Lytechinus pictus: one gene and its partner. The protein of the gene in region 2 purifies or fractionates together with the protein of the main gene of each other region. This does not show direct contact. Links are inferred from orthologs where the notes say so. Each region holds a gene or a part of one and is shown on either strand. Other genes may lie near its edges. The genes, in order: structural maintenance of chromosomes protein 4-like and condensin-2 complex subunit D3-L-like.

Region 1 (16,754 bases), on a different chromosome or scaffold from region 2:
CATTATGGCCCCCCCTTAAGATCTCGGCCGCCGATTGCGCGAGCGACGCAAAAATTTGCACACTGGTAGTGTGCGATGTAATCTACAAGGCTGTATGGTAAAATTTTCCAAAATAATGAGATTTTATTTTATATGAATTAATTATGCTAATTTATGCATAAATCATACTTTTTGCTATAATTCACTAAATAAAGCTCCTAGAATGCTAATTTTTGGTAAAAAAATTCTTTGTAGCAATCTTAACAATCGCAATTAAAAAAACTTCGGTTCGGAAATCAATTTCTTATGTATTTTATTGTTTTATAAATTTCTTATGTATTTCTTTGTTTTTTTACTTTTTGTTTTTTATTGTTTTTTCAATGGAAATCATTCCAGACTTAGTTCTGATCATAAACAAGGCAAAATTAATTCAGTTTAATCAGTAAAAGTAGAAATAATGATACATTTATGAATTTTGGCTAAATACACAATTTGCATTGGATTTGTACATGAAATCACGTTTATGAGCAGTTTTGGGTCTGACATGCACTTACATAATGTTGCGTAATGTCGTAACCGTGTACCCGGGCGTCACAAATTTGGTCTCAAAATTTGCGCGAGACTTGAAAGTAAAAAGTCAGTGAGCGACGAGGTCAAAAAAATTTGCGCAGCAGATATATCGCGAAAATTGTCAAGGGGGGGGCCATTATGGCCCCCCCCCCCCCGGGAGAATTAGGGTTAAATGCCACAAATCCGTACCTTTGTCTTCTCTTTCTGCAAGTTCTTGACAAGTTTCTTCTGTTTTTCTCTGGTGTGTTTCAGGTCCTCTCGACATTTCACATCTTGCCTCTCAAATTCAGCAAAGTCTGCCTTCTTCTGCTCTGCTACTTCTGCAAGTTTCTCATATTGTCTGAGGAGGGCAAAGAAATTAACATGTCTTTTTCTTTTTTCTTTTAAATCCAATTCTTAGAATTGTGCTCAGGAGAAAAACTGTATTCTGTGATAAAAAAACCTGTATTTTTCCCCCAAAAAAGTGTATTTCATAATAAAATGCTTGGCGCACTCGCTCATCGCGGCACTCAAGCTGCATGCAAGCTAAAATGCGCACTGCTCTTGCAGATGAAAAAAAAAAACATTGAAACATGTGTATATCTTCACCCTGGTTTTAACAAAATGACTGAAATTACATTGATATAATAACCATATTTGTGTACGTTTTATGAAATAGAGACATATAGATATTATTTTTCTCAATAAATTACAATTTAGTAAAAAAAAAAATAAAAAAAAGGTCTGAATGTGGGTTTTAACAATACACCCTGTATAGATTTGAAATTGAAAATGGATCTATCACTCAATTTGTAATCAATTAGAATACCATATAGTAATCCTTCATTATTGCTCTTATTATAGGTATCAATAAAAAGTGTGATCAAGACCTTACTTGTAGAGTTTTTTGTGTTCCTTGATCTTCTCTTTGTTCTCTAAAGCCAGAGTTTTGAGACCTTCCTCCATCTCTTTCAGTCCATCCTGGACAGCTTTCCTCTTCTCCTGGGCCTTCGCTTCATTCTCATTACACTCAGAGCTGGAATAAACATCACAGAGTAAAATCATTAAAAGGGAAAGTGGAAAGTTGTTTTTTTATATAAAAAGACAATTCCATCTCCCTCAATCCATCTTGGACAGCTTTCCTCTTCTCCTGTGCCTTGGCTTTATTCTCATTACACTCAGAGCTGAAGTAAACATCACAGAGTAAAATCATTAAAAGGGAAAGTGGAAAATTGTTTTTAATATAAAAAGACAAATCCGAAAAGCACAGAGGAGCGAGTTCTAAACGAGATCAAACAATAAGAAAGTTTACCCCTGCCAATTTTGCTATTTCAGCAAAGCCATCATTGCCAAAGATAAAACAAATGTAAAAATGATGAATAAATATAAAACCAAAAAAATATATTATGTACTTGTACTTGCTATCTATGCAAAAGAGTCAAATCTTTCCCAAAATCTTTCCCAAGATTAACAATTGTATGATGGTGGGACCTAAAGCTACGCACTTTTACAAATGATAAATGCTATGACAATTTAATATTTGAACGGATTGTCTTACCCTAATTTGTGAATTGTGATAAATATTCTAAAGATCATTGACCAAGCAGAAAATATTGCAAAGATCACTATAACAAAAATCCTGCTGTGTTTTCCGAACACCTCTTGATTTTGCCGCCCAATGAAGGGGTCCTAAAGCTACCAACTTGATGAATCATGCAAAGAAATAGCATTTCCTGTGCCTCAATTTTTAAAATGTGTTCACATTATTATGAAATTAAAAGGAATATAACTCTAAAATTCCAAACATTTGCTGGTTTTCTATGCATTCAAGGATTTATAACAGCCTCTGTAGAAAAAATTGAATAGGAATCGTTTGGCACACTGCAGTCATAGCTCCACACACAGTGTGCATACAAAGGCATCTTCAGATTCAGAAATACCATGCAATGCTGGGACAGAACTGGTAGAATACTGAAACAAATTTACCATAGCCCGTATTCTGAACTCTGGTGTTTTTGTTTATGTACTCTATGATGCAGAAATAAAGAAATTAGGGCAAGATGAACAAAAACATCATACAATGACGGACATGACGTCATGGGCCCATTTCATAGAGGACTTTCAACTGTTGCAACTTTGCCATTATGGCAACTACCACGGAAACCTTGATTTATGATTGGCTGCTGAGCCCTGTTTCCATGGTAGTTGCCATAATGGCAAAGTTACAACGGTTGTAAGTCCTTTACGAAACGGGCCCCATATCTTTTGACCAACAGACTAACAGACCACCAAACCAACAGGAAAACTAATTATTAGGTTTCTGCCGAACTTCGTTCAGGCGAGAACAAAATTCATAACTTTCTGGGAATCATAGCTAAACTGTTCTTTCATCTTTCATCATTAAATCATGGGGGAAGGTGCAGTTATCATGAGAAACATACAATGTGAACAAAATCATGACATTTTCAGCTTCCCGTAATGTAAAGCACAGAGTTAGAACAAGGGAAGGAGGCTATAAAGCTGTGACATGTCAAACTTACATGTACTTCTGGTAGAGTTTGTTCTTTTTCTTGGTCACCTCATTCTCAGTCTTGAGGAATTCCTGGGCTTCTTTCATTGGTTTCTCCAACTCTTCCATCTCTGATTCCACTGCCTTGACACGGGTTAACTGGTCAGTTATAAATCAAGATGGTACACAAATAGTGAATAGGCATGAGTGCCATGGTGCGAGATTTTCGCATAAGGCAAAATAAAGATGCTTTATTGAATAGAACGTCTCTTTCTTTCACCAAATGTGAAATGTTGCACCATTGCACGAATAAGAATATTCGCTATTTGTGTTGTACAACGCCTCGGAAATTGGCAAAAATACAAATAATCGATTTTTTTTCAATGAAAGCAAAAGGAAAATCCCTCAAACGCACATTAGATCTACAGAAGCAATGCACATTTAGCCAGAAAGCCCTATGCGTATTGCAACTGCATTTACAAGCACATGCAATGCGGTGAATCATAATTTTTATAGTGACTTCACCTTTTCCTGACCCGTGCAACGGTACATTATGGCCGGTACATGTGCAACGGTACGACTGTTTGACATTAAGCCTCCCATTTGCTCGTGTACAACAAGCTAAGTAGACATTGTGCAATACTCAATAAAAAGCCACATAGCCAGTTCAGTTATAAAAACTGCTCTACCAGAGGGTCCTGCATAACATTATAAAGTTAACATTACCCTTCCATTTATATGCTGAGTGCCAAGCTAGAAGGCAGAAGTTTCCATTTCTAAGAGTCTTTGAAATAGTTTGGCTGAGAATTGAACCCTTGACCCGAGTTCCAGTTCACGAGATGGGGATTCTAGTCCTGAACCACTACGCCAGGTTAAATTGGTCACTACGAGGATTAAAAACTATTTAAGAAACTCTTTGGCCTGTTGCAGACAGGGTTGAGTTTTAACTGCAACTCACAAAATCAAATGGAAGTCCCCAATGTGCACTTCTAATTTGGTTTTAGAATCAAGTTTTGCTTGATACTTTGCATTTGAATGTGCCACTCCTGCAATGGGGAGCTGTTGTGGAGTTGGTGAAAACAATCATGGTGAGCTTTCAAGTTATGGAAATTCAGTGACATACAAGTAAGAGAATCTTGAAAATGAAAACGTCAATAGCTGGATTTATATAGCCCATTTTCTAGAGGATTCAAAGTGCAACAATTTTTACCCCTGCTTTAGCTCAATTCACCGCTTTACAATAATAGCTTACCTTTTCGCCCCTTTCCTCATTGAGTTCTTCTACTTTCTTTGCGAGCTCCTCGATGGATTCCTTGAACTGGTTGCTTCCGATGATGTCCTCAAGGTATTCTAGCATGCCTTCCTCATGTTCTGTCTGGGCTTTGGGTTTCATCATGGCTATCTGCTCGACCTCTCCCTACAAACAGAGAGTTCGTCAACAATGGAAAGACTTTCAATCTTATTGCATTTAAAGGGGAATCCGGCCATGGTCAAGAATGTTGTGTTGAAAAGGAGAAAAATAAATTTAAACAGAATGGTGAAAGTTTGAAAGATATCGGACAAGCAATAAGAAAGTTATGGCTGCTTTAAAATAGAGATCCGGTTATCCCTAAGACTATGTAGATTTCAAATTGGCAACTGTGTAAGTAAAATATTACATGTACAAGGGGCAAGGACAACTTTCTCACAGGCTGTGTACCCAATTATCAGGGATTTGTGATTTTCTCCATTCCCCTGGGGCGGTAATCTTCATATAGCCCAGGTAGTATACTGTTTTATGTCCTCATGAAAAAAATAATAATTTGAAGTAAAACTTTTGAAAAAATGACATTTTAGCCATTTTATTTATTGGAGTACATGGTAGAGTAGTCCTTGCCTTACATCACTATGACATATGCAACCAATTTGAAGTCTCCATGGGTAAAGTGATTACCAATATTTACAACTTTTTAAAATTCATAACTTTCTAATTGTTTGTCTGATAGTTTTCAAACTTTCACCTATCAACTTGTCTGATTTTTCTTTTTCCTCTAAAAACAAGTTTTTATTTGGGTTGGTTTCCCCTTTAAGAATACAGGCAACTCTATCTGCTCAGTCAATCTCTTGGGACCACAGAAATTTGTTCCGAAAATTCCCCAAAAGTCTTGTACAAAATAAGAACACACAGGATCACCAAGGGTGAAAAAAATTGTTATTTTTCTCTCCCTAAATGGAAGACAGTTGAAAGGTATAAAAGGTCTTGGGTAATCATTTACATCTGAAATTAATTTTGGATGAGATTATCATTTTACGATTTTTGTGCATTTTTCTGCAGATGATACAAGTGAGTATATAGACTAACTCAAGGTAGGTAGTGTTATTTCTACAGGACCATTTTTTCCCTTCACATCGAGGGTGATTGCTGAATCTTGAGGGCTATTTCTTTCACTTTCAGGGCATATGTTTTATGCAACCAGTAAGCAAATTGTGCAGTAAATGTAAATACCATTATTCTACCAAATGTAGAAAATTAATTTCTCATTACACTCAGAGCTGAAATTTCTTATTCCTGAATATTGTTGGATGGTTACCCCACAGCATGCAATTTATGGCATTTTAGGGGCGATTTGAGCTGGCATAGGGGCAAAATTGCCCATCATCCTCATGTATTTGCTATGCTAATGTAGCTTTGCCCCCCCCCCCCCCCCATGCAGTGTTAGGTCATAGCACTGGCACACAAATGAATGGGGGGGGGGAGCTTGGAAGGCCATGGACCCCCAAAAATTTTCACGACCAAGAAAACAGGGAGAAAGGAATTGGCAAGGAAAGAGCTGAAATATAATATTATTTTTCTACATATTATTTCAAACTCTATTGATAACAAAATTAGATTTTGTGATAAAAAGGTCAAAATTTAGACTCACTCGCAGCTGTTAAAGAAATTTTGCCCCATACACCATTTCTGGCCCCCTTAAAATGTTTGGCTTATTACGCTACTGACCTGTAGGATGAGGAACCTATTGTGATCGAGGTCTACTCCAGCTTGCCTGAGGAGAGCCGTGCATTCTTTGAAGTTGACCTTCTTTCCGTCCAGGTAGTAGCTGCTGCTGTTGTCCTTGTGCGCTGTCCTTGACACCACAAACTGACTGTTGGGTACCACTTCGTACTCATCGACCCCGGCCTATTCAATATAGGGAAATACATCGAGGGGCGTTTCACAAAGCAGTTCCAAAGTTACAAGCGACTTTACGAATGACCGAGTCATTTCTCATGAGCTAAATTCACACCCATGATTATTTGGTGCGCATTTATAACTTTTCTCAAGAAAGGATCACCAGTCATTCGTAAAGTTGCTCACCCTACACGATTCAACTACGGTACGATTTACAAAGAAATGAATTTTTCATAAAATATGAAAGTTTCAAGAAGTAAAATTATTCCAGTTGAAGTTTGGCATATATGTGTAAATGCGAGGAATACTAAAATTCAAATTCTCTTTTGATGCAAGCCTTCTGACCTGAGTAGTATTCAAATCATCTTTAAGTTGCAGTTGATGATAACGTCATTACAATTTGGAATTGAATATGCTTTCATTATCTTTTCGACAGGAATGCAAGAATTTCAATTAGATCATACAGTGTATATCACTATTCGGAACTTTGATCGGTATCTTTTTAATAAGGTTTTATAGGTAGGAATATTCATATCAAATGCTACTACAATTTCTTTAATATCAGATTATCACAATAGATTATGCATTGTATGCCGGAGTTAAACCAACATAATTTTCATAAGTTTCCTAAAAAAACCTCTTACTCACCCCTGTATCAATGATCTTCTGAAAGTGGACAGCTACGGTGCAGCTCTTCAGGTCCTTGTGATCCTCCGACTTATGGATGAGAACTGACAGTTTCTTGGATCGAATCTTTGAAGCACGGTAGCCAAAGACGAACAGCATGGAATCGATGACATTAGACTTTCCACTTCCATTCGGCCCAATAATGCAAGAGAAACTCTGCATATAAATACAGCCGTGGAATAATTTTCCTGGTAGCACATCACAAATTACTCCACATTTTTTTAGGATTACTCCACAAAATTTCTGAATTATTTTCTGGTATATATGACTAAAAAGAACCAGAACATAGTTGAAATCTCTCACAACCAGAAATGCTAATCCAATTCGAGAAGAAAAATTATTCTCTGGAATAATATCAAACTTGGATTGAACTCTTTCTCCCTCTCTCTCTCTCTTACTCCTTTATTCTCTTTTCAGGTAAGCAGGGCAGAAATTTAGTACATACATATTCACAACTATAAATCCTGGTACAGTAGTTTTCAATAGAGCTGAAAATCAATAACAATTCTGTCACATGTGAAACTTGTGCTATCAAAATGGACATTCTCTGCAACCGGATTCTAATTCTGGCCTTGTCCCCAACAAAATTTTAGATGGAAACGTTCGACATAGGGACAATCCAAGACTGCTTCATGTTCTACACCAACTTACCTTATGGAACGGGCCGAGGACTACTTTGCCTGCGTAAGACTTGAAGTTTTCAGTCACAATCTGCGTGATCAGGAGCCTGGGTTGTGCTGTGGGAGTCGAGGGTTCCTGAGGTATGGACTCATTGGTGTCCATGGGCTGGCTTTCTGCTTCACCCTCAGCCTTGCCTTGCTCTGGTTCCGCTAACACTGGCATCTTGTTGCAGTCCTGGTGAATATAGATAAGGAAAAAATAAGCACTGAGTCAATAAATAAACTGACTGATTCTACAGTGTCTCAAGGAATTATTTGAACACAATACTATTACTAGGGTAGGCCAGAAAATGGCACTAGATTTGTGCTGTAGACATGTGTCCAAAATGTCAATACCGTTGGTTAGTTGGCCTCGAATATTCTTTCTATATTTTGAGTGAACAATGTAGACCAACTTAGTGATTTCTTCACATTTTCTGGCAGCCAAGTTGATTATCTATTGATGTGACATGTTTCCACTGCCCCACTCAGAGGCTCACACAGTCTAGGTCAGCATTTAAAGACTTTGAAATGCCTATTTTTAGCCACTAGCCCACACAGTATAGCATATAGGGATGGACCAATATGCATTTTCCAGCACATTTTGTGGAGTATCTTTCACTATTTAGGAAATTTTGAGGTAAGTTTCGAGCAATGTCTGTGATAATAATGCTAATAAAGAATACATCAAGGTAAGGCCGCTGAAACTCGATGTTGAGTTTTCCGTCGCCCGTCCGCGTTATGAAATTTGGCCCGCGTTTGAAAATCAAATTCTTAAAATAATTTATTATTTTACTATTTTGACATAGATCTAGATTCAAAACTGATATAAAACATTTATATAAGCTTTTCACTCGCACAATTACTTGTATACCCGGTATCTTGTAAATACCTGTAAATCTTTTCTTTTTTTCTTGTGAATGGAATGATGCTGCATGCTCAACCATAACGTTAGTCAAACTCGTAGAATCAACCCAGCCATGGCCATGCAACAATGCGCCCGCGCCGCGCTCCAGCAAGTATGCACAAAGATTTACTTTGGTCAGTGTTTTGAACAAATCACGCACGCAACAGCGATAGTACACATGTACGTACATGTACAGTACGTGTACGGTGCAGGCAGAATCTCAATATGATCTCATCGCCGAGCAAGGCCAAGGGCCTAGGATTTTTAATATTTGACGAAAAAATGACGATGTTCTTGTCAGTGACTATTCAAAATCATCAAAATGGCAACACGCTGTTACCATACACGATCACTAACATCGGTCAGATAGAAACTTTTTGACATTTTTAGGGCGATCCTCGCGATGGAAAACTTAGATCATGTACATGTAGATGAGAATGCAAAAATGACCATGGTGTATTAAATGGATTTATTAATGTTTAGATCCATGTTTGTCTGATTTAAATTTCCCATTTCATTTATTGTACTAGTATACTTAACAATATTTTACAAAATGCCAAAAATTTAATTTATAAATTCATTTACTATATACTTTGTGTATTTATACCCCGCTCCGATCTCTCATTGCGGTGTGTCCAGTCCATGTCAATAAGGTAGGGAGGCTCTCAGTGAGAAGGAAAATTAAAGGGACATCCAAGCAAAGAATCAGTGTTATGTGTTGATATGTGACGTATCCCCTACCACTACCAAGCCACCTTAGATCTACAATTACAGTATGAAACAGCAATACAATCCACTCCTTTTCACACATAACTCAAATGAAGATATAAACAGTGTATATGTTGAGATATTACATATTTATTGAGTGTATTGCAGAAAATGTCCAAATTAACAAATAAAAGTGTGTTAAAAGGTTACAAAAGGTCAAACTTTCATCTTCTAGAAAATAATGAATAATGAAATCGGTTCCTCATTATGAGCTGGAAAAAATGGGATGGGAAACTCAACATCGAGTTTCATTGGCCTAATGCTTTTTAGTAGAAATGCTGTTTCGTTTTTTGTTTTTTTTTGTCACTTGTCCTACCTAGATCTAGAATCTACCTACTGTAACTAGGGCTGAGTGAGTCAAAACATTTAAACGCTGTTCAAATGACCATTAAAAGCATAAACGTCTATTTATTTTGCTAGCCGTTTATCTACATGTCTACATGTAGGTCCTAATCAATGCCAAGTGGTGGGCGAAAAATAAAACCTTTTATAAAAAGAAATTTTTCTTAATAGTTTTCAACAAAATTACAATATTTTTAAGGAATAGATTCTAATGGAAAATGGATGCCCATTTCACGGATTTAAAGATGCAAAATCTGACATTTTAGCAACTTTTGGTGTGTGTTTTCTTCTTACCCCTGCTGGTTAATCATAAACACCCTTTTATTAATATGCTTTTCAAATGCACATATTTTCCTTAACCCTGGGAAATTGGTGCCTAAAAACTTTCATGAACACATAACAGAAAAAGGAAACAATGATCAATTATTTTGATTCGATTTTCTGTTATGTGAACACCAAAGAGAAAAAGGAAACAAAAAATTCAATTCAATTTGGTTTTTTTCAAAGGAAAAACCAAAATTTGAAATATGTAGAGTAAAACGGAAAAATAAACGTTTTTTTCTCACTTCAATTTCAGACTGTTTTCCTGTATTTAATTTTTTACACATTCATGACATTCAATTTTCATCACTGACACTGACTGTTCATTTTTTTATTTTTCTTGAATCATAATCAGGGTGCGACAAACCCGCTTGCCCGGGGCAAGTGAAAATGACGTGCGGGCAAGCATTTCTCAAAGTCAATTGCCCGATCGGGCAAGTGGTTGTTTTGAAAATGAAAAGATAAATTGACAGTAAAGTTTAATAATTTTTTGATAAATTGGAATTATCGGCCAATTATCTCTCATACAATGTCATACCAGTCAAAAAACAGTGGAAACATGTCAAATCAGCGCCAATTTACCGACAAAAGGCGACAATTTATCGCCAGCGGTCCCGTTCGATGGAGGCTGCCATCTTACTTTCTAAACTACAATGTGCGCATGCGCTACTAATCGACGAAGGAGCTAGCTGCTGCTGGGGAAACCCCTCTCTCGCCCTCTGAGCGCATGTACGGACGTACACGAGCGATCGCGATCGAGCCAGCCGAGTCTCGAGCTAGATCGCGCTGAATGCATGCAAGCTTCGGACTGACTCGGCCAGGACCAGATGTCCCGTATTTTATTCATTTCTAAAACATTTTAGTTTTTTTTTATTTCAAAAATATATTAAAAAAACACCAAATATTATAAGGATTTTTGTTATATGATTGGATTGTTTTTATTTGCTTGAAGTTTGAACTTTTTCCTCTTTCGTTCTTTTCTATCCTTCTATCTTAATTTTTCCTTCTTGCCCTTTTTTGTTACATATCTATTTTTATTTCCTGATCCTTTCTCTCTCTCTCTCTGTTCATTTTCTTTCTTTCCTTCTTTCTCTTACTTGCCTTCTTTAGCCTATTACATTTCCTTTTTTTTTTTTCCTTCATTCCTTCTCCCTTCCACTAATTTTTTCCTTCCATTATTTTCTCTTTTTTTCATTCTGGCCTCCCTTCATTCTTTCCTCCCTCTCTTTCCTCCTTTCTTTCTTTCATTATTTATTTCATTTTGTCCTTATTCTTTTCCCTTATACTTTCTTTCCTAGCTTTCTTCCTTCCTTCCTGTTTTCTTCTTTCTTTGTTTCTTTCTTTCCAAGAATGAAGGAAAATTTTCTTTCCTTCATTCTTTCTTTCCTCCTCCTTTTTTCTTACTTTCTTTTTGTCTTTCTCTTCTTTGTTTTGACTTTCACACATTTATTCTACTTCCCTTTTCTTTTTTTCTTTCTATATTCAATTCAAAGAATGACAGAAACCTTTTTATCTATTTTTATTCTCTCATCCTTCTTTTATTAGAACTTTCTTATATTTTTATTATTTCCTTCATTTTTCTTTCGTTCTTCTCAATTCATCACTTTTCTTTCTCTCCTTCATTCTTTAGTTCACCCTCCCTTCCATTTCCAATTCTGTACTTTTTTCACAAGTCTAACACTGTTTAGCCTTCTTTCTTGAGCTTTTTTTTTGTCGATTGTTCCGTATTTCATTTTGTGAAATCTGGTCACCCTGGCCAGGACTCGGCTTCAACTTCAAACCAAATAAACAATGAGTCGTAAGACTAAAATAGGCAACTTTTGTCGTCGTGATCGGCGGCCAGAACAACTTGAACAAGAGTCAAGAAAAAGAAATGCCAAGCCAGGGCAGCGGCAGTAGGCTAAATCAAGTTCAGCCAAGACAGAAAAGAATAATAAAGAGCAAAATAATTTTTGAAAAAAATCGGGCAAGCAAATTTTTTTATCACTTGCCCGACAGCTAGGCCTAGGGCTAGGGGCTTAAGTTAGGGCAATTGTAGACAGGAATAACCGTCGTTTCTGGGGATTTATTCAACAATTTCTGACATTTTACTGTAATCCCCATTTACCGACGGTAGGGTGTACGTGTGGGCTCGCATGTGTTCTCATTCCCTCCCTTTTGTCAATTCACAGTCCAAAGTTTGATGTAATTTTACACATCGAATATACAATCTAAGGATGTATAAACAACAAACTTTTAAAACTTGATATGTCAATGTTTGAATACTTTAAACGATATAGATGAAAAAGGCATGCAAAATATACTTTACCGATGTTTAATTGGGTTGAACACGATAAAAATGGTCAAAATGGCAGCCAAACTATAAAATATTTACAAACGAACGTCAACAATCACGAATGTGATATCGATATTGCTTTCGATATTATACGATCTGCTCCATATGCGAACGAAACCGAAGATAAACGATACTACTTATACTAGTACTAGTACTAGTTATAATCGCGATATATCGATTCGAGACATTAAGTTAATAACGATAATGACGTCATTCAAGATGGCAACTTGCAAGAAAAACCGTCAGGTCAGGTGAAAATGTCTTAGATGACAGATTTCTCAATCATCCAGAGGATTTTTTTTCAATAACTCCCGCCCAAGGTATGCAATTACTTAAGTTATTTATATTTCCCTGATAATGGAAACCATGAAACTTTCAATTTTGCTTAAAAAACAGTTTTAAATCGCGATCTATAAAACGCTAGTTCACTATACGTTGGCTGTAGGTACGGGGCCCCATCCCCTTCAGTCTATGTATGGTGAGTGGAGCCAACGTAGTTCAGCGGAACAACCAAAATACAGAGACTGAAGCTTTTGGTCACTCCTAGTACCAATGAGGTCCAAACATTAACATGTATGGACCTCATAGGCGACAATGCGTTAAAAACAGGTTAGAACTTCTAAACGTACTGTTTCCTGCACCCAAGTATGATATTACTCCCAAAATATGAGTTTTGTCCTCGTTTGTTTATCATTTATTAAAAGATTGCCCATTAAATATATTCCTATTCCTAATTTGAATTTAATAAAATAAAGGGAAACTTACATTTAATTTTGAGTCATTTTTCGATCTTTTTTTGGCAGTCAGTCCGGTCACCGTCGAGTGCGATCAAAGCGGTATGAAGCTGATTTTCAGATCACGTGATACGTGTGGTCATCACCTGATCAATCGACTATCCTTTTTTAAAGACCGCAACAATTATAAATTTTATCATAAAATATATATAGAATGAATAATTGCATGATATTATATATATTTCTACAATTAAAAATATTTTGTGATATGAATTTAATATTTGACGTAAAAATCGCTATTTAACAAAATATTTATTAAAAATAAAAAATCAAACAAAATAAAAACGCCTTGGACACAGTGCAAAAAACCGAACAATTTGGCCGCGTTCTTAACAACTATCGTAAGGGGCGCTCTATTTATAAATAAAGTTGCATATGTAGCTGTCTACCGCGACAGGAACAGCCGCAGAATTGAAGCCAGAAGCGTGGGAAATTGCCAGAAAATTCAAGAAAAGAACCGGTGAGTCCGATTTAACAGTACTAATTTATTAAGTAACATTTATTGAATCATTACAAGTAATGTTGTAAATCGGATCAAAAATCAGATCGAAAATCGGATCGGCAGTTAAGCTTCTAAAATCGAAATCGAATCGAAAATCGAATCGGCGATGTTTAAAAACAAAGGAATACATCAAAATGTTGTTCGCGGTCGCGCGCATCTTCCTGACAAAGTCACAAAGACGAATGCATTGGAATGGAAGTCGCCAACATGCGCGATCGTTTGGAACATGTTTTAAAGCCAGGGGTTTTGAGGTGTTATAGCTTTAAAATAAACCGAGTGATTTTTATTAGAAAGATAAACGAAAGACGCATCTTCCGAGCAAAGGCGCAAAGGAAAATAAAATGAAAATATTTCTCATAGATCACAGGTTAATGAACGATCGGCGGGACATCTTTTAGAAGTATTTTTAGGTGCTAGCGATTTAGAATTATTGGAATGATCTCTTACGACGCATCATCTTAAAGTCGCAAGTGCAATTAAAATGAAGTAGAAGACGCAAGCACGCACGATGATTTGAAATATGTTATTAAAATGTTTTGGGTAGCTAGCGTTTTCAAATCAATTTGAAGTTCACGGCGGGGTCCGCTATCACCACGAGGTTGACGAGAAGATTTATATCATTATAAAGGGGGTAAGAGAGTAGCGCAGTGAGCTCCGTCGGTAATACGACCTTTCAAAGTTCACGGCGGCATCCGCTATCACCACGAGGTTGAAAATAAAATGTATATCATCATAAACGATGTAAGAGAGTAACGCAGTGAGCTCCGTCGGTAATACGACCTTTCAAAGTTCACGGCGGCATCCGCTATCACCACGAGGTTGAAAATAAAATGTATATCATCATAAACGATGTAAGAGAGTAACGCAATAAGCTCCGTCAGTAGCACGATCTTTAAAAGTTCACGGCGGGGTCCGCTATCACCACGAGGTTGAAAATAAAATGTAAATCATCATAAACGATGTAAGAGAGTAACGCAATGAGCTCCGTCAATAGTACGACCTTTCAAAGTTCACGGCGGCATCCGCTATCACCACGAGGTTGAAAATAAAATGTATATCATCATAAACGATGTAAGAGAGTAACACAATAAGCTCCGTCAGTAGCACGATCTTTAAAAGTTCACGGCGGGGTCCGCTATCACCACGAGGTTGAAAATAAAATGTATATCATCATAAACGATGTAAGAGAGTAACGCAATAAGCTCCGTCAGTAGCACGATCTTTAAAAGTTCACGGCGGGGTCCGCTATCACCACGAGGTTGAAAATAAAATGTAAATCATCATAAACGATGTAAGAGAGTAACGCAATGAGCTCCGTCAATAGTACGACCTTTCAAAGTTCACGGCGGCATCCGCTATCACCACGAGGTTGAAAATAGAATGTATATCATCATAAACGATGTAAGAGAGTAACGCAATAAGCTCCGTCAATAGTACAGTCTTTAAAAGTTTATGGCGGGGTCCGCTATCACCACGAGGTTGACGAGAAGATTTATATCATTATAAAGGGGGTAAGAGAGTAGCGCAGTGAGCTCCGTCGGTAATACGACCTTTCAAAGTTCACGGCGGGGTCCGCTATCACCACGAGGTTGAAAATAAAATGTAAATCATCATAAACGATGTAAGAGAGTAACGCAATGAGCTCCGTCAATAGTACGACCTTTCAAAGTTCACGGCGGCATCCGCTATCACCACGAGGTTGAAAATAAAATGTATATCATCATAAACGATGTAAGAGAGTAACGCAATAAGCTCCGTCAATAGTACAGTCTTTAAAGGTTTATGGCGGGGTCCGCTATCACCACGAGGTTGAAGAGAAGATTTATATCATTATAAACGGGGTTAGAGAGTAGCGCAGTGAGCTCCGTCGGTAATACGACCTTTCAAAATTCACGGCGGCTTCCGCTATCACCACGAGGTTGAAAATAAAATTAATATCATCATAAACGATGTAAGAGAGCAACGCAATAAGCTCCGTCAATAGTACAGTCTTTAAAAGTTTATGGCGGGGTCCGCTATCACCACGAAGTTGAAGAGAAGATTTATATCATTATAAACGATGTAAGAGAGTAACGCAATGAGCTCCGTCAGTAGCACGATCTTTAAAAGTTCACGGCGGGGTCCGCTATCACCACGAGGTTGAAAATAAAATGTATATCATCATAAATGATGTAAGAGAGTAACGCAATAAGCTCCGTCAATAGTACAGTCTTTAAAAGTTTATGGCGGGGTCCGCTATCACCACGAGGTTGAAGAGAAGATTTATATCATTATAAACGGGGTTAGAGAGTAGCGCAGTGAGCTCCGTCGGTAATACGACCTTTCAAAATTCACGGCGGCTTCCGCTATCACCACGAGGTTGAAAATAAAATTAATATCATCATAAACGATGTAAGAGAGCAACGCAATAAGCTCCGTCAATAGTACAGTCTTTAAAAGTTTATGGCGGGGTCCGCTATCACCACGAAGTTGAAGAGAAGATTTATATCATTATAAACGATGTAAGAGAGTAACGCAATAAGCTCCGTCAGTAGCACGATCTTTAAAAGTTCACGGCGGGGTCCGCTATCACCACGAGGTTGAAAATAAAATGTAAATCATCATAAACGATGTAAGAGAGTAACGCAATGAGCTCCGTCAATAGTACGACCTTTCAAAGTTCACGGCGGCATCCGCTATCACCACGAGGTTGAAAATAAAATGTATATCATCATAAACGATGTAAGAGAGTAACACAATAAGCTCCGTCAGTAGCACGATCTTTAAAAGTTCACGGCGGGGTCCGCTATCACCACGAGGTTGAAAATAAAATGTATATCATCATAAACGATGTAAGAGAGTAACGCAATAAGCTCCGTCAGTAGCACGATCTTTAAAAGTTCACGGCGGGGTCCGCTATCACCACGAGGTTGAAAATAAAATGTAAATCATCATAAACGATGTAAGAGAGTAACGCAATGAGCTCCGTCAATAGTACGACCTTTCAAAGTTCACGGCGGCATCCGCTATCACCACGAGGTTGAAAATAGAATGTATATCATCATAAACGATGTAAGAGAGTAACGCAATAAGCTCCGTCAATAGTACAGTCTTTAAAAGTTTATGGCGGGGTCCGCTATCACCACGAGGTTGACGAGAAGATTTATATCATTATAAAGGGGGTAAGAGAGTAGCGCAGTGAGCTCCGTCGGTAATACGACCTTTCAAAGTTCACGGCGGGGTCCGCTATCACCACGAGGTTGAAAATAAAA
Region 2 (17,125 bases):
AATGTTTATGAGTGCAATGGACAGAATACTTCATGAGGTGAAAGATGAAATGATCCATTCAACTCGGCTACACCTCGTTGAATGGATCATTCATTTCATATTTCACCGAATGAAGTATTCTGTCCATTGCACGAATGAAAAAAACATTCATTAATTGGTTTATATGACACCAACAAATTGATTTTTTTTCATATGAAATTCATGAATTTCGATGCAAAACACGCTCATGCATTGCGAGTTCGGTCTGTTGATTGTTACGTCATTACAACATGCGCACTGCTGGTGCCTGCAGAATGCAGTCTCGGTGCGCGTGTGCAATTGACAAAATCATATGGATCCAAAATTGCACGGCCAATGACGTCACGGCAAAATGGGCTGAATGAACGATATCAAACAACCAATCAAATTACAAGGATCTATCTAGGTGTCATATAATATGTATTACATACAATGGCAAGAGTTCCACATGCACCCCCAATAAAATTGAAAATTAAAACATTGAGAAGGTTCAAAATAATATATCTAGCCCTAATATAGAACATATGTGATGGGGAAGTGGAAATACATACCAAAATATGGCCTTATTCCGTCAAATTTCGAGCAGGATCGAGTGCGTGTTATTGTCCATAAACATCGGTTTATTTAGTCAGTAAAGGGTCTGTGAGTCTAGACTAGTCGGAAGTATCGGCTCAAGATTGCTAAAATACTTCTTCCGGTATCAGTGCTTCTCGCTGGCACAGCGGATAGAGGTCTTGACTAAAAGTACGAGGTGTGTTCGAATCCCAAGCAAGGTAAGGAACAGTGAAAAAATCGATAGAGAAATATGAAGTGAACAAACCGTAAGTCTCGACAATCTCTTGTCATTTTGGGTGGGGGGTGCAAATGGAACTCTTTCCCATACAAATGACAGAGTTGAAAAAAATGATAACATAGGGTATTTGTAAAGCGCACATATCCACATAGTCAGGTGCTTATTAAAGACGCTCCTATATTACCCCGGCTTACACCCTCAGCTACCGATTCTGGTGCTCGCAGCTTTTTGAGGATTTACTTCCTGTCAGTACCCATTTCACTCACCTGGGTTAAGTGCAGCACATTGTGGATCAATTTCTCGCAAAAGGAAATCACGCGATGGCTGGGATTCAAACTCCCGACCCTCTGTTTCAAAGTCCAAAGATTAATCCACTGGGCCATAACACTCCAAAACAGTTGGCAAGCATTAACCCTAAATGGCATGAGACTTGGAAGTAAAAAGTCAGCGAGCGACACAGTAAAAAAAATTTGCCTGGTGGATTTATTTCTTATGTTATATTGTGTTATCAAGAATCAACCAGTACTATTAAGGCAGTAAAGAAAATAAATGCGAACAGGCCTCATGCATCTTCTTTTAGTGCTAGACTGTCTCCCCAGCCACATGCACCATGATATGCTACCTTTACCATCATACCTCACCTCTTGTTTCCAAAGTGGGACTCCCAGCCCTGCTCCGTGGGGACGCGACTGACCTCGGCCAGACATTGCATGACGTGCTCGATGATCTCTTCAGAACTCTTCAGCGGCACGTTCCTGAGCAAGAAGACAACCTCCTGCAAAAAAAATTGGTGACAAAATTACAAAATGTTGCAGATGATAAACACAGAATTCCCTAAAAACAAATACTAGGTAAATTTTTAAGGATGAATTCAAGTTCTGGAACAAAGATAGTGCTGGTCTTAGGAGCATTTCATCAAATAATTAGTCTGTTATAAGCTACTGAAATCCTTGCCTCTGATTGGATAAGAACAAGAAAACAACCTTCCGCAAAGAATGGCGACAAAATTGGGTGTGCAGTAATAATAATAATTATAATAATAGTATGCTGCATAACATGCTCAATGATCGCTTCAGAACTCTTAGCGGCACATTCCGCAGCAGGAAAACAACCTCCTGCAAATAAGTAGAGCACCTCTTGCAGTCTCACCTGCATTACGTGATTTAATATAGCAGCAGTGCTGGCTTTGAAAACTACTAACCTTTTTTTAATTGTTTAAACTTTTTAAACAAGTTATTTAAAAAGTTTAAACAGTTGTTTAAATAGTTTAAACAATAGTTGTTAGAGTAACAGGCTTAAACAATGTGCTTAAAATTTTAATCAACATTTTTACAGTGTTCAGCACTCGACCCGGGTGAGGTGAATGGGTACCCGGCAGGATTAATTCCTTGCATGCGCTGAGCGCAGGTGATGGTGGCTCGAGCTAAAGCCGGGGTAATAATAGCAAGCGCTTTGTATCCTCAGGCAAAAAGTGCTATAAAAATCCAGCTATTATTATTATTATTAATAAATTAGAGCATTAGTGCATACCGCTAATGCGTGTGGATCCTGCACATGTAATGACTTAAATTGAGCAAATTCTTGTACATTTTTCAAGCAATTTAGGGGGACAGAGCACTACATGTATGGCACACAGTGGATAAAAGCCTGGGTGACAATGCAAGGATCAAAGATAAATACCCTGATAGCATGGTAGATAGCCCGGTGGATGCGATCCACTTCCTGCGTTGTCAAGGAAACCACCTCCTCATCCTCCTCCATATCCTCCTCCTCATCGTTGCCGGCATCATGAGCCTTCTGGGATGCGGTCTGGCTGGAGGTGATGCGACGGGACTTCTTACCCCCCTGTGGCTGGGAGCTCCGATGGCCTTTGGACTCGGGGCGCTTCCGCTTGTTGCTCTCCGTCTTCGGCCAGAGCTTGAAGGTGTCCAGGGCTTCCTCAAAGAGCATCGGCTGCTGGACACGGTATGCTCCGCTTCCTGGAGGATAGTAATAATAATGATAATATTAACATGTCCGTTTATATAGCATAGTTACTATGTGTATATACTTTACTGCCCTTGATACTTGGTACCATATTATTACCCTGGCTGTACCTGAGCCACCATATAGGCGCTAAAGCGTTCAAGGAATAAATCCTAGCGGGTATCTATTCACCTCACCTGGGTGAGTGTAGCACAATGCCAATCAATTTCTTGCTGAAGTTTAATACCTCCTGGCTGGGATTCGAACCAACAACCCTCTGTTTCAATGTACAGCGAGTAATCCACTAGGCCACAGAGCTCCATTGATACAATGTAGATGTTCAGTCAAAGTGCAACAAAGCAAACCAACACTTCGCGTAAATGTTAAAGGCCTGTAGAGCAAGGCCACTTTTCCAAATGGCACATTTCTATATTGAACTGCCAATATTAAAGTTAGCAAAGGGCTTGAGATGGGACTGATTAAATCGCCATGATGAAATATTCACTTTTAAATACGCTTACACAGATTAGACAGAATATGTGTACATGTAATTCTGCAATATTCAGAGACTCAATTCTCCCCTACGTGGCAAGATATCTCCATTTTTTTTTCAATTACAATTACCAATGACTTTTGTCGATTACAATTACAATTTCAATTACTTTCTATAAAAGTCATAAATGAAATCAATTTGTATTCTCTATATGTACTAGCACCACTTATTTCAACACAATTCTAAGTTACAGAGAAACTGACAAGATGGTTTATGTTTAATAAAAAGCAAAATTCTACCCATTACACACTTTGATGCTGAAGCAGTCGACACGAAATATTTTGATATTTATGTAATCATTTTATCGATCAATAAAAACTTTATGAAAAAAAAAAAAAAAGTCATGAAATTAAATCATGAAAACAAGTAAGTTTATTGTAAAGTAATTGAATGATATTAAAAGTAATTGAATTCAATTACATTTTTTTTTCAATTACAATTACAAATAATATATTAATATAGGTATATTTACCCAGGGTAGCCACTTCAGTTTCGAAAACTGTTCTACCAGCGGGCCCTGCTATTATTATTACCCCGGCTTTAGCTGAGCTGCCTAGGCGCTCAAGCAGTCAAGGAATTTTTCAATTCAAGGAATTCCTACCGTGTACCCATTTACCTCACCTGGGTTGAGTGCTTTCCCTTTCAAAATTTCAAATACAATTACAATTGTTACCTGAGAAAATGTAATTAATCACGTAAATGATCAATTACCTTGTAATTGAGCCCATCCTAGGCTTGCAAACTACATATTTACCTGGTATCTCGAGAAGGAGGATATACAGATGAGCAGCCGATATTGCAATCTCTCTTTCCACTGCCGATGAAAGGAGGCTGTCCACCCTATTCATAAAATGGTGCAGTCCAGCCAGCAAAGACCTGGGTACGATTCCATTTTCACAGAGGATGTTCCAAAACCCTGCTCGGAAAAACAATTACATGTACACGAGCGTTGTATTAAAAACTACATAAAGTGACATTTAAAGGTCCTATGAAATACAGCAAAGATGCTGATTTATTCGTTAGCTTAGTGGTTACCAATAACGATTCCATCAAAATTTTACCCGAAAAACATCCCACATCAGGTTCAAAGGCAGTTTTATATTGAAAATTGAGCCAAATTTGCCACGCCCACAAAAAATTCAGCCCAATTTGGTTTCGTATATCAGTGACAATTATGACGTCAGGGGAAGAATCTGCTGAGTGTTGCTGACGTTTGGAGCGTGAAGTGCCTATTGTGGTTGCACGTGTGGATTCAAAGTAAATAAATTGAATTGCTGGAATGATATTCAGAATCTGAATCTTCAAAGTCTGAAGAATCAGACGCAGTTGATGACGATGCTGCAGCCATGATCAAAACCTCATAAAAATCTAAAAAATCTGTTAAGGATGAGCTTGATTGAAACAGCAACTACACGAGAAACATGTGCAATAACTAGGGGTCCGGCTGCACAGCTGAGAAAGCTTTCTTTCGATGACGTCACGATGATTGACAGGTCGATCGGCTGACTTTCTTGAAAATTTTAGTGGGCGTTCCCGTTGAAGTTAATTTCCATAGAATAACTCAACACTGGTTCGTCGTACATAGAAACCGATGGCAAATTCGTATTTTTCAAGTAAAACTACCCAAGAATAGATACATATCCAAAATAAGATGGTTTTTGTGTCATAGGACCTTTAAAATATTTCTCTCCCTCTTTCTACTGCTGATGAAAGGACAGTCCTATTCCTAATAATGAAATGCTGCTGTCCAACATGCAGAAAACCCATTTCATTAAGACTTGCAACTAGCATCACTTTGCCATTATTGTAACTACCATCAAAAACCCTCGATTGTGATTGGCTGCTGAGCCCCGTTACCATGGCAACTGCCATAATGGCAGAGATACCAGAGTTGTAACTCTTCACAAAACAGCCCCCGAGTACAATTTTCACAAATGACATTTCAATGTCATACATGAAAGAACAATTTGCATTAAAGGGAAAGTTCAACTTGAAAAAAAAATGTTAAAATACCAGAAAAAAAAAAATTGATATAAAAGGTTTTTGGAAAATACAAAGATTAAGAAAGTTATTAGAATTTGAAGTCTTTGATATGTGACAGCATGAATTTGCAGAAATTGAAATTTTATAATGGTTCATGATGACTGAACTAATTTTTTATCAGATAATTTTCGTCACTTGATAAAGAGTTGCAGCGGCACTCGAAAGCTCGTGAACTTGTATTTTTCCTTGTTGACCATAGTAGATTGCGAGACAAATGAATACCCTCTAGCGATTATTTCAATCCGCAATAATGAACCTATTTAGTAATTTTTTTTTCTTTCAAGAGAGGGTGTGAAGTAATTTGCCTGTTGATATATTTAATGTACAATTTTGGTACAACATTGTATATGGGGAATCTCCACCAGAGTAGAAAACTATAGCAAAATTGAAAAATTTGCCAAACAAATTGGGCCCCATTTCCTAAAACTTGTTATAATATAATGACTGATATGCAATGTCAGTTTAAAAGCTAGTTAAATCGTTCAATCTGGTCGGCTGATAGTAATCTTGCTACATGTATCTACAGATATTGTGCATTTGTTATTATAACAAATCTTTGTGAAAGTTTAGCGCCCTAAATGTACCTTGTGGAAGTGTGGCAAAGTCCACCCTGGCCCACGGTGTCGAGCAGTCAATGGCGTCTTTCAATGACCTTAGGACTTCACGCTGGTTGGCCCACTGACCTTTGACACCCTCTGGAAGCTCGGGGTTCTCTGTGAAGTCGCTCTCCCATACTGCGTTCACCCATCCTTAAGGGAAAAAAATATATATAACAGGTTAAAAGTTTATATTCAGTTTTGATGAATCCCCGGAAAGCACATGTATGCAGCAATTCTGATTCATTATGAGGGGAACTGCACACACATAGCTAGAAATTCCTCCTTTTGCACCACACTCACACACCCAAATATTGACATGGTTATGAGGAGAAAAATCAATGTTTAACACATTTCTGACATATGATGCTATTATCAATTTTTTTTTGTATCAAATTAAAGAGAATTAAATGCTCCTTAAAGATAGCCTACTTAACAGTTTTCATATACATGTAGTCACTACCATTATTGAGTGAGTGGGCTATACATGGGTCAAAAATACTTTTTTTGTCATTTTAATACGGCAACAGTTTTTTTTTTATTCCTTGTAATTAATATCTCAACATGAAATGACAATATTTTTTGTCTTGGGTCCGAGAAAAAAGTGTGCCGGGCCAAAATCCAAAATGGCAGCCAAACCCCGCAACTGGATCTGGATGTATACGAAACAGGGCCCTCATGGGCATAAACGCATCGGGTACTTGACCTAAATTTTGCCGGGACCGGCAGGTGCAATACACCGGATGAACACCCTAATCTTTGACGAAATAGTGTATTGGTGTTAACATGCATAGGTTGTACCTCTCCTATGTAACACAGGAGCAACATTTGCGTCCTTTCCGATGGATGGAGTGTTTTCCAACTGCATTCACACCTGCACTGAATAGTGGTGAGGCACGCTAACACACAACGCTATAGCATCATACTTTTTTGTTAGACGCGTTTCGGCATGAGCGGGACTGAAACCCCTCATGTTGAGATCTACGATCTTATTCGAAACATGCGCTCTAACCGACTGAGCAACGCTGCCTCGATGACATCGCAGTGAAAAGTTTTGGTCACAACTTCTTTATTTGGTAAAAAGGGGATTTTAAGTAGTTTGTTGTAAAATCAATATTGAGACACGTACACAATTCGCCAATCAAAATGCGAGCGTGCAGCGCTAGCTGATACGTTTTGACAATCAGACCTGAAAAGGGATATTTTGAAAATGTTATGGAATACACGAAAATAATAGTAGGGCGACTGCACACAGAGAAAAAAAATCGCCCTTTTCACCGCATTCACACAGCCAAAAATGGTCATGGTTTTGAGGGAAAAATCAAAGTTCAACGCATTTCTGACATATGATCCTATTATCCAAATTTAATGAATTTGGTATCAACTTAAAGAGAATAAAATGCTCCACATGTATAGCCTACTTACATGTAGTTTACATTTGGTTACTACCATGATTTTGATGTGGCATTAAAAAAGGAAGTTCAAAGTTTTGTATCTTGTGAATAAAAGTACCATATTTTTATAAACTAGTGGGTTTTTGTAGTATTGATAATGGCAAATCCAATGGAAATACTCATTTTTCACCTTTCCTTCAGGATCAAGTGTCAGAATTGCTTTCAAAATACCCCCCCCCCCTCCCATACTCCAGAAAGCCCAATGCAAAACTGCACACAAAATATCTGCACTCTGTGTGTGGTCGTGTGTTTCAGCTGTGAGTGTGTTGTGACAAATTATACTACAGAGCCTATTGGGAGCATTTGGTGGAATTTCATTCGAAATTCATTTGATTATTACTCAAAAACTGATTCATGGATTACTATGAAATTTGGTAGATTTCTATTTTGCACTATTTTTATCAAGATCTGAAAAAATCAAACAGTTTAATGAAGTGGTTGATGAGATAGAAAAATCTTGTGGTCTCCCTAATAATAGGTAGGGCCTACCTGATAAATCAACATTTGCGATAAAATTCAGGCCATAAAACTGATATTTTTACAGAGCACCTTTTAAAAATCAATTTGTAAATCACACAAAATAATGAAAGTTCAATTTCAGAGGTGAAATATATTGTCAGTAGAGGCGCTGGTCCAAAGATTGGGATTGTCCCAGAAAACAAGGATATCCTCATTAACCAAGACAAATCATGTCTTGATAAATTGAGACTGTCCTTGTTTATAGGAATTTTTTTTGTTCACTTCCCCCTACGGGACAAAGACATCAATTACAGGAATTGAGAGTGCTAAAAATAGATTCAGTGATCTTGACTTAATTCCCCCCAGTTCACTGTCTACATACACATGGTCTATTTTTCATGACTTCCAGTCTTCCAATAATCTTGTTATGAAACCTGATTTGTTACATTGACTAGCGTACTTGATTGGTGTCGGCACTTGACAGGTGAATGAACTTTACTACATTTCTTGTGAAGAAAGCTTTAAAAACTGAGACAGTCGCTGTAAAACTGGGACAATCCCAATTTTCTGACCAGCGCCTCTGACACTCTGATTGTGTATAGGCCTAGTATATTATTGACTTCCAAACTTGTTATTTTGACTCCAGATTGAACAAGATTATAAGATATGAAAATCACCCAGCAGGTAATGCGAGCGTGAACCTAAAAATTTTAAGTGACATGATGATGAACATTATCATGATGAATCATGATGATGAAAGATTCTTTTTATTTTCCAAGTAGGGCCTAGTAGTAGTACCGTAGGCTAGTAATTCCCCTCATCTTATTCACTCGTCTTCCTCCTCTTCCATTTCTTTTTTTCTCCTCTCTTTCCCCTTTTATTTGGCTCCGCCAATAGGGGGCCCGGGCCCCTCGCCCCCCCCCCCCCCCCCCCCCCCCTGGATCCGCCTATGAGTATGAGCGGAATATTCAAATATTGTCGCCCGGGAGCGCCGGCGGGCCAGCCGTGCACGTACCGCATAGCGGCACTAGCTTCCAGAGCAGATCAGCTAATCAAAGTTACCTTGCAATAAAATTATAAAAACAACATCACTCTTAAGCAGGAATACCTAACGCTAGATCTCCTAATTCACATTAAGTGTCGTCTCACCTTCATCTAAGAGTTCAATTCCCAAATTTGCAAAGCGTTCAGCGACGTTAGATTCCGGTTCTTTCGCCATCTTCCTTCTCAATCAAATTTCCCGCGCGCGCGCCTGCCGGCCGTACCGTACGTTTTAAAGGAGAATGAAACTCTTGGAGCAAGTTAGCTTTTGTGAAAGCAGAAAAATCAAAGAATAAGATCAACAAAACTTTGAGTAAAATAGGACTAGCGATAAAAGAGTTATAAGCATTTGAATGTCGAGATCACTAATGCTATGGAGATCCTCCCATTGGCAATGCGACCAAGATCTGTGATGTCACACACGTACAACTCTCCCATTTGGACACTGAAAATATACCCCAAAACATCTCTTTTTGCTTATTCTAATCATATGACAAACGATTCATCAATGGTATAATGTTGTGAAACCTCTGTACTTGTCATCTCATAAAGAGAACACCTCACCTTGTGATAGACTCTATAAAAGTGAGAATATAAAGTGAAATAAGTACTAGAGTAATGAGGGAGTTGTACGTGTGTGATATCACAGATCTTGGTCGCATTGCCGATGGGCCCTGAGGATCTACATGGCACTAGTGATCTCAATATTTAAATGCTCATAACTTTCTTATTATTCATTCAATCTTCCTCAAACTTTCAACAATATGTTTCTTTGATTTTTCTCTTTGATATGGATTCAGCTGGTTTCAAGGGTTTCATTCTCCTTTAAGTTCGCTGGACTCGCGCGCGCATATGCATAAACACGCATAAACATCTCTGTTGAGGCATGGATGGTTGAGGCGACACCTTGCACAAGGGGGAAGGGGCACTGAGAGGGGAGCTCAGTGGGAAGGGGGCATATGGCCGGATCCCAAAAAAAATCACCACCATAAAAAATGAGAAAAGAAAGAAAATTAAGAAATTTACTTGTCGGACGTTTTATCCGACAAGACCCATTTTGTCCGACAGTTACCATAGTAACAGTACCTCTCAACCAATCAACATCAGAGAAAGATGTCAGATCTGACAACTTGTCGGATGAAAATGTTGATGAAACACTCCCCTGGGGGGCGTTTCATGAAAGGACTTGTCGGACGTTTTATCCGACAAGTCCCATTTTATCCGACAGTTACCATAGTAACAGTACCTCTCAGCTAATCAACATCAGAGAAAGATGTCAGATCTGACAACTTGTCGGATGAAAATGTTGATGAAACACTCCCCAGGTCTGTATGCAAATGAGGAGACTGATGACATCATCCACTCACTATTTCTTTTTTATTTTATTATATGAAATATGAAATATTCTAATTTTCTCCTCTTTGTCAAGTGAAACAACGATGAATTCCTCTATGAACATGTGGAATTAGCATTGTTTAATGCTATATGGTTCAGTCAAGTTGGTCCTAGTTGTCAAATCTGTAAAAAAATACACTGTAAAAAGTTTACTGTAGATTTTACAGTAAATTACTGGCAACTCTGCTGCACGGTAATTTACTGTAATTTTTATTTTACAGTAAGCTACTGTAGTTTCGTCCTACAGTAAATTACTGTAAATTTGAACTAGCTACAGGAAAATACCGTGAAAAGTGCTGTAGCTTACTGTAAAATTTACCAAATTTTAGAATTGTTGCTACTGTAAATTTGGTTAAATTACAGTAAACTACTGTAAATTTCCCTTGCATTACAGTGAGGTACTGTACACTTCCTACAGTAAAATGCTGTACACCTTCCCAATTTACCCCCAGTACTGTACACTCCCTACAGTAATTTACTGTAAATTGACCCCATTTACAGTATGTTTTACTGTAATTGGCACAACTTCCAATGACAAAAATACACTTGAGTAAAACTTTTGAATGAAACTTTGAAAAGTCTTTATTGCATTAACATGCAGTAGAACTGACAATGCCATATTTCACAAACAGTACAATTTTTGTAAGGATCATGGGCAAAATGCTGGCAAGTAGAATGTGTTGCATAATCAAATTTCAAAGATGACAATTATACAGAAACTATGTACACAGAAATGTCCTAAGAATGCTGATGTTCATTACAGACCTGTTCACTAATGTAGTCAAATTTCATGAATACTTTGTTCCTCTGGATTTGGTAATAGGTAATTACCATGGACTGAATGGTATTACAATAAGTGGCATCCTTTTTGCATGCATAAACTCTTTATGTATTTGTTGGACCTGTCAGAGCAAGCAACAAAGGTTGTAAGAACAACCATAAAATTTGGTTGGTGTTACTTTATCTGCTGTTTGCAATTCAGTTGACTTAAACATTTTGTAAATAAATCTATTCAACAAGTAAAATTCACCTTGCATGCATTAAAGTAGTTGTAATTGCTAACCTTACACAAACTTTCAGGCCACTGTATATTAAATGAGAGTACATTAATGAACAGGTGTGTTTTAAAGCAATCCATTTACATGAAGGGTACCATAATCATTCAAATATTCAGTCATAACCCATTAGAATCAATTACAAGTGAAAGCAATTTTTCACTTATGCAACTACTGCCTGAAATAATGGCAAACTTTCAATTTCTTTAAGAAAACAAATCTGACTAAAGTGAACTTCCTTCTAGGAGGGCTTGTCTCAGCTGACCTTGGATGAACACTGGATGAACATACACACGCACACACGCACACACACACACACGCACACACACAGACTCTCTATCTCTTACATCCACATATCCGTAGTAACACGCAAAATGCTTACTCCATGGTAACCTGACGACAATGCTTCTACCAGAAGAAAACTGAATTTTTAAGTGAAACTTCTCACTTATGAGTAATTTTACATGTATACTATTAATTGATAAAAAATTAAGTGTATGTCAACTTCTTATATATACATATTCCCAAAAATCTTATTAAGACAGAAAACCTTATTCAATCCTATATCAAAATAATGAATAGTCCTAAACACACACTGAACCAATAATTTATATTACAAGCATACAAATACATTAACTGCCATGAATACATTAAATTGTGACAATAATATTACATTGCATACAATATTCCTCACAAATAAAGTTTCTTACAACAGTACTATCAATTTGATATTGAAACTGGCAAGAAAGAACCCGAATGAGAGTATTGCTACCATTGCAAATACTTAATATTTACATGAATATTTGACGAACAAACATGTACAAATATGACCTCCAATTTTGCCAAAGTAATGTTTGTACTGTGACACTTGAACAGCTGCGAAAGTGAAAGTATGAAAATGTTATAATTCTGTGAACAACAAAATACAATGTAGTAAATCCTCAGTAATCATAATGAAGAAAAATGTCAATCTGTGAGAAGTATCTAAAATTTTCAAATTTTTCTGTACTACATCATGCAAATCTGCTATTTTGAGAAACTCTTGAAATGTAATCAAAATGTCACATGCTTTTTCATTTGAGGAATTTCTGATACATTTAATATCCTTTTCTGACTATAAGAAAACAAAAAATTGCTACATCACCTTAAGATTTCCTGAATTTCTTGATATAATTTGGTCCTCTTTACAAAAATGGCTAACAGTCAGCCATGCATGATATGCAATAATGGAGATCACTGTGTCATTCATGTAATAATAATATAATAATAATCTCACTCCACCTTGGTAGGCTGTGTTAAAGCCACATACATTACAGAAGTTTACATCGTTCTCAGTAAACAGCTTATTGCAATATTTGTCAACATCTTGATGACCAAGCGCTTACTACGCAGTATATATATATACATATATATATAATGTAGCACAATGTTGAAATCGAAATTGATTTACAGCAATGTTAATCCTAACTAAAGATGAATTTTCGACCACGAATGTTGGAAATAGATGCCTCCGCTACTGCCATACCAGAAATATATTTCCTAGTTTTTATTTCCATAAAGAAAAAAAAAACCCTCAAGACCTTTGATCTTGTGACTTCAAAATCTAGTCAGATAACTGTTTCTCAAAAAAGCAAATATATGCATTTGATTGAATCCAGAGAGCTTGAGATTTGACTTTCAGACCCAAAATCTTAATAGATCATTGTCACTTGTATATGCACAAATGAGCGAAGTTTGAAGTTGATTCGTCAAATGGTTTGGAGTTATTGCGAGAACGGTATATGTTATATGTACTTTATTGTATTCAATGACCTTGACTTTTGACCTTGAGACCCCAAAATCTGAACAGATCATTGTTACTTTAACATATACACACGAGACAAGTTTGAAGTTGATCTATCAAAGGGTTTTGGAGTTATTGTAAGAATGGTCTATTTCTTATGTATTTTAGTGAATTCTATGACCTTTGACCTTTGGACCCAAACACTTATCAGCTCATTGTCGCCCAGATATGTATCCTCAAGTCAAAAAGTATGAAGTTGACCTGTTGACCGGTTTTTAAGTTATCGCGAGAACGAAAGTGGGACAGACGGACCGACGGACAACACAAAAACATAATGCCTCCGACACCACCTTTGGTGGGCGGAGGCATACAAACAGTGTGTAGTGCCATATATCTATGTTTTTGTATGGTTCAAATTCGGTTGTAAGGAGATATTCTTAACTTTATTTTTCCAAGTATGAAACCCCTTTACATTTACAATTTCTATATGAATTTTACCCCTCCCCCACTCTTACTTGACCTGGATTTGAGAAACGGCTAAAATAAAGTTGTGGGCAATGTCAACTTAATAGCATATTCAAATGAATGTTCTCTCATAACTAGCATGTCGACAATCTATTTCAGCAAGTTTCTCATGTTATGCAATATTGGGCATAAACTCTGTAGTTGCTTGGTCAGACAAAGCTCAACCAATTATTCAAGAGGATGGTGACCAAGCGAACATAGTATTATTGGGTGATATATAAAATCACATGTTTTTAGATGATGGGGTAAAATGTACAAATCAGGAAATTAAAGCCACTGGAAATCAGCAAACCGACGCACAAATGACACTACTTTCGCGTTGCAGTGACTCTTCGACGCATGGCACTTCGACCCATCAGGGCTTATTCCGAGGAGACATCTGAGAGACAGGGAGAAAAAGATATTACAGAAAAAATAAAAATAAAAACAATCAAATGAAAACTGAGGGAGTCAAAATAAATTGACAAACCTAAAATGAAATTTATCAAACAGTAATTAGAGATGGCTCCATCAAGCCAGCTTTACTTAAAAAAGAATACTTTTTAAATCACTTTTTTCTATTGTTAGTACAGAGACACACTCTTCTCTACTCAAGTACGTAATCATTAACCTGCACCAAAATACACCAGATGTTAGTGTGCTAGTCGCTAATAAGTTCTTGAAATTTTGGAGTTCCCCACAGTACTGCTGGGTTTGCTTACTTTCAAAACGTGACACTTGCAATGGAAATCATATTTGGCTCCCAAATAAATGCAGAAGTACTGTGAAGAATGTCTTTGTTTTCTAAGGCAAGGCAACAGTCGGATGTTGCTCGCTCCATCAAGTCGCAAAGCAGTAGCACATTAATAAAAAGCCTATTTATCAGATAAGAAAGTATGTTCTAGAATCAAAATGCTTAAATTTATGAGCTGCTCGGATGTGACGTCACAACATCATAACTTGAAATATTCACAACTCTAACAAAAAATTTTGACGGATTTTCTTCAAACCTTCACCAATATTTTTCTTTATTTTTCCACATTTTTTAAAATCAAGTTATTTTTCAGACTGAAATTCCATTTAGCTAGGATGTCCATGAAATTGGACTTATGTCAGTTCCAGAAAATGGTCCGATATTTTGCATGCCATATTGTACCTCTGAATGAACTCCAGTGTTGCTGCAGCCGTGCTTGGATATTCCAAATTGAGGTTGTAATAGGTGGCAAAAAGGTATGCCACCCCACAAAGAAAGCCTTCAGTTGTTGATGATGAATGGCCAATAACTCTGCTTTCAACCATGACCATCCACTGGGACTTGGCCGAGTCAAATGGATCTCCTATCAAACAAAATAATGTTAAGATTTAATCGTTATGAGCTTCATTTTCTATAATTTGTTTTAACACTAGCTGATGGGAAAATCTCTGGTACAAATTCACTAGAGTAAAATTCAGTTATTTATTTCCAATTGTCCTGATTCCCCCCCCCCCTTATGGACGCGTTACAAAGTGAAAAACTATAATTTATGTTTTTTGCCCAGTTTTAAAGGCTGGGATCATGCAGTATTCACATGTCTCTTTTGTTAATGACTGCATATAATTACAAGCATGGCAAATCTGAAATGCTGAAAGTGAAAGATGTACATATGAAATACAAGTCTGTTTAAGAAAATTGACACAAAATAAACGTACATGTCTGTACAGATTTAGTCTAAACCTAAATCTGAGAATGTTTTAAATGTCTGTATTATATTATTCTAAGAGGTTTGATTAAAAACACTGGAAGTTGTCATGCACCTTGGATTATGAGTTTGGGTGAATCAGATGCATCTCCCTCTTTCTCCATGTCCTCAGCAGTATCTGTAACCTGAAAAGATATGATAATCCCATGTTTCCATTACCATTACACACAAGATTCAACTCTTCAGTGTCATTTAATTGATTTTAATTTTCATACAGCATGCAGTCCCCAAGAGTGAAGGTCCAATACAATCTAGAAATAATCATCAATTAATTTTCAATTATGTACCACCTCGAAGGGGGAAGGGCAAGTGATCTCTCTCATTTCTTTTTTCAAATGGGGGCGTGCCTTAGCAACAAAACACCCCCCCCCCCACAACAAAAAATTAAAAATTGAAGAAAAAAAAGAAAAAAAAAACAGATCTAAGGAAAGGTTCCACAAAGGGTCTTGAAAAGTCCAGAGTCATCGATACAAAAGCAATTATTAAATACTAACTTTTTCACTCAGGACTAATAGCGCAAAACATTTTTCAGGAGAGTAATTATTAAATCTTACATCACGGATGAGGAAAAGGGAGTCATTCCCTTCTTTAAACAGGCTCTGCAACCCTCTCAGCACACCAGATGCTACATCATGCAGGTTTGCATCATCTTTTGCAGCCGCAGCTTCCACGAGAAGTACTGGAGGAAGAGAGAGAGGGAAAAAATAGAAAAAAATAATAAGTTGAATGAGTAGGGTCCTGGGCAGGAGGGGAGGGAGATAGGGGACAAGAAGATAGACATGGAATGAGTAAGAAGCAAAATGAGAAAGAGTTTGACAAGATGGAAGAGATATGAGAAGTAGGAGAAGCCAAAAGAAGAGATAAGAATTAATTAGAATATTAAAAGAGGAAATGAAAAAAAAAAAGAAAAGGAAAGGGGAGGTGGCAAGAAGGAAGGCAAAGGAGAAGAAATTGGTGAAGAAAGAAGACAAAGGAGGTGAATAATTAGAAGCAGCGGGAAGAAAAGGACAAAACAAAAAAGTGGAGAACCGAGAAGTAGAAATATAGAGTTGGAAAAAAAAATTGTTTGTGTGTTATTTGTGATCAACTTTAAAAATATTTACAAATGGATAAGTCTATATTTTCAAGAAAAGTTTACCATTATCAAAGTGTAAAAACTGCAATAGCAAAGGAAATATATATGTGTTATATTGTGAAAAAGACACAAATGAATTCATGGGAGTATCCCCCTTCCCCATCCTTGGCTAATTATATGCACGCGCACGCTTTCAAACAGTGATGACGTCACAATGCAAAAGACCAGACTGTAACAGACGATTGCCCACGGTCGGCCGCGCCGGAACTCCTTGCCATATCGCTAGCGCTAGCGCGCGGTGCATGCATGCGCTGGCTAGCTAGCTCGCACCATAGGCCATACAAGCACTGCACTAGCACTGCATGCTGCGCTGCATGACTGTACTGTACGAGTATGGCCAGGGTTGCATGGCTAAACTGCGTGCAGACATCGGAATCCGATGCAATCTATCTAGCTGATCTAGCAAAAAGTAGCGTAATGAAATTTAGTCGATATGATGGAATTGCTAAGAGGCATTTTAATGATAATTTCAACACATACCAAATTTCTATGCATAGGTCTTTACTATTTTTTAGCAAGTTAAAAACAGTCGAAATTTGAGTCAACACCCCGCACAACTCTAAGTCTAAATCTACACAGTACACATCTTCCG

Evidence for each region.
Region 1: the proteins of condensin-2 complex subunit D3-L-like (region 2) and structural maintenance of chromosomes protein 4-like purify together in Homo sapiens (co-immunoprecipitation; 3 studies listed by BioGRID and IntAct, with this or other methods). This does not show direct contact. The link is inferred for Lytechinus pictus from reciprocal best matches to the Homo sapiens genes NCAPD3 and SMC4.

What each region holds. Positions count from the first base shown.
Region 1 is NC_087260.1:4,775,291-4,792,044, forward strand, and holds the start of structural maintenance of chromosomes protein 4-like, read right to left. Parts: upstream 7,757-16,754; 5' UTR 7,719-7,756; coding exon 7,527-7,718; intron 7,032-7,526; coding exon 6,837-7,031; intron 6,198-6,836; coding exon 6,018-6,197; intron 4,455-6,017; coding exon 4,290-4,454; intron 3,197-4,289; coding exon 3,069-3,196; intron 1,565-3,068; coding exon 1,424-1,564; intron 890-1,423; coding exon 739-889; intron 1-738. UniProt on the Homo sapiens protein: Central component of the condensin complex, a complex required for conversion of interphase chromatin into mitotic-like condense chromosomes.
Region 2 is NC_087250.1:11,493,222-11,510,346, forward strand, and holds the start of condensin-2 complex subunit D3-L-like, read right to left. Parts: upstream 9,138-17,125; 5' UTR 9,101-9,137; coding exon 9,031-9,100; intron 6,122-9,030; coding exon 5,957-6,121; intron 4,246-5,956; coding exon 4,084-4,245; intron 2,791-4,083; coding exon 2,492-2,790; intron 1,587-2,491; coding exon 1,453-1,586; intron 1-1,452. Other genes in the region: uncharacterized protein LOC129267861, read right to left, coding at 13,948-14,059, 14,816-14,996, 15,454-15,523, 15,953-16,077.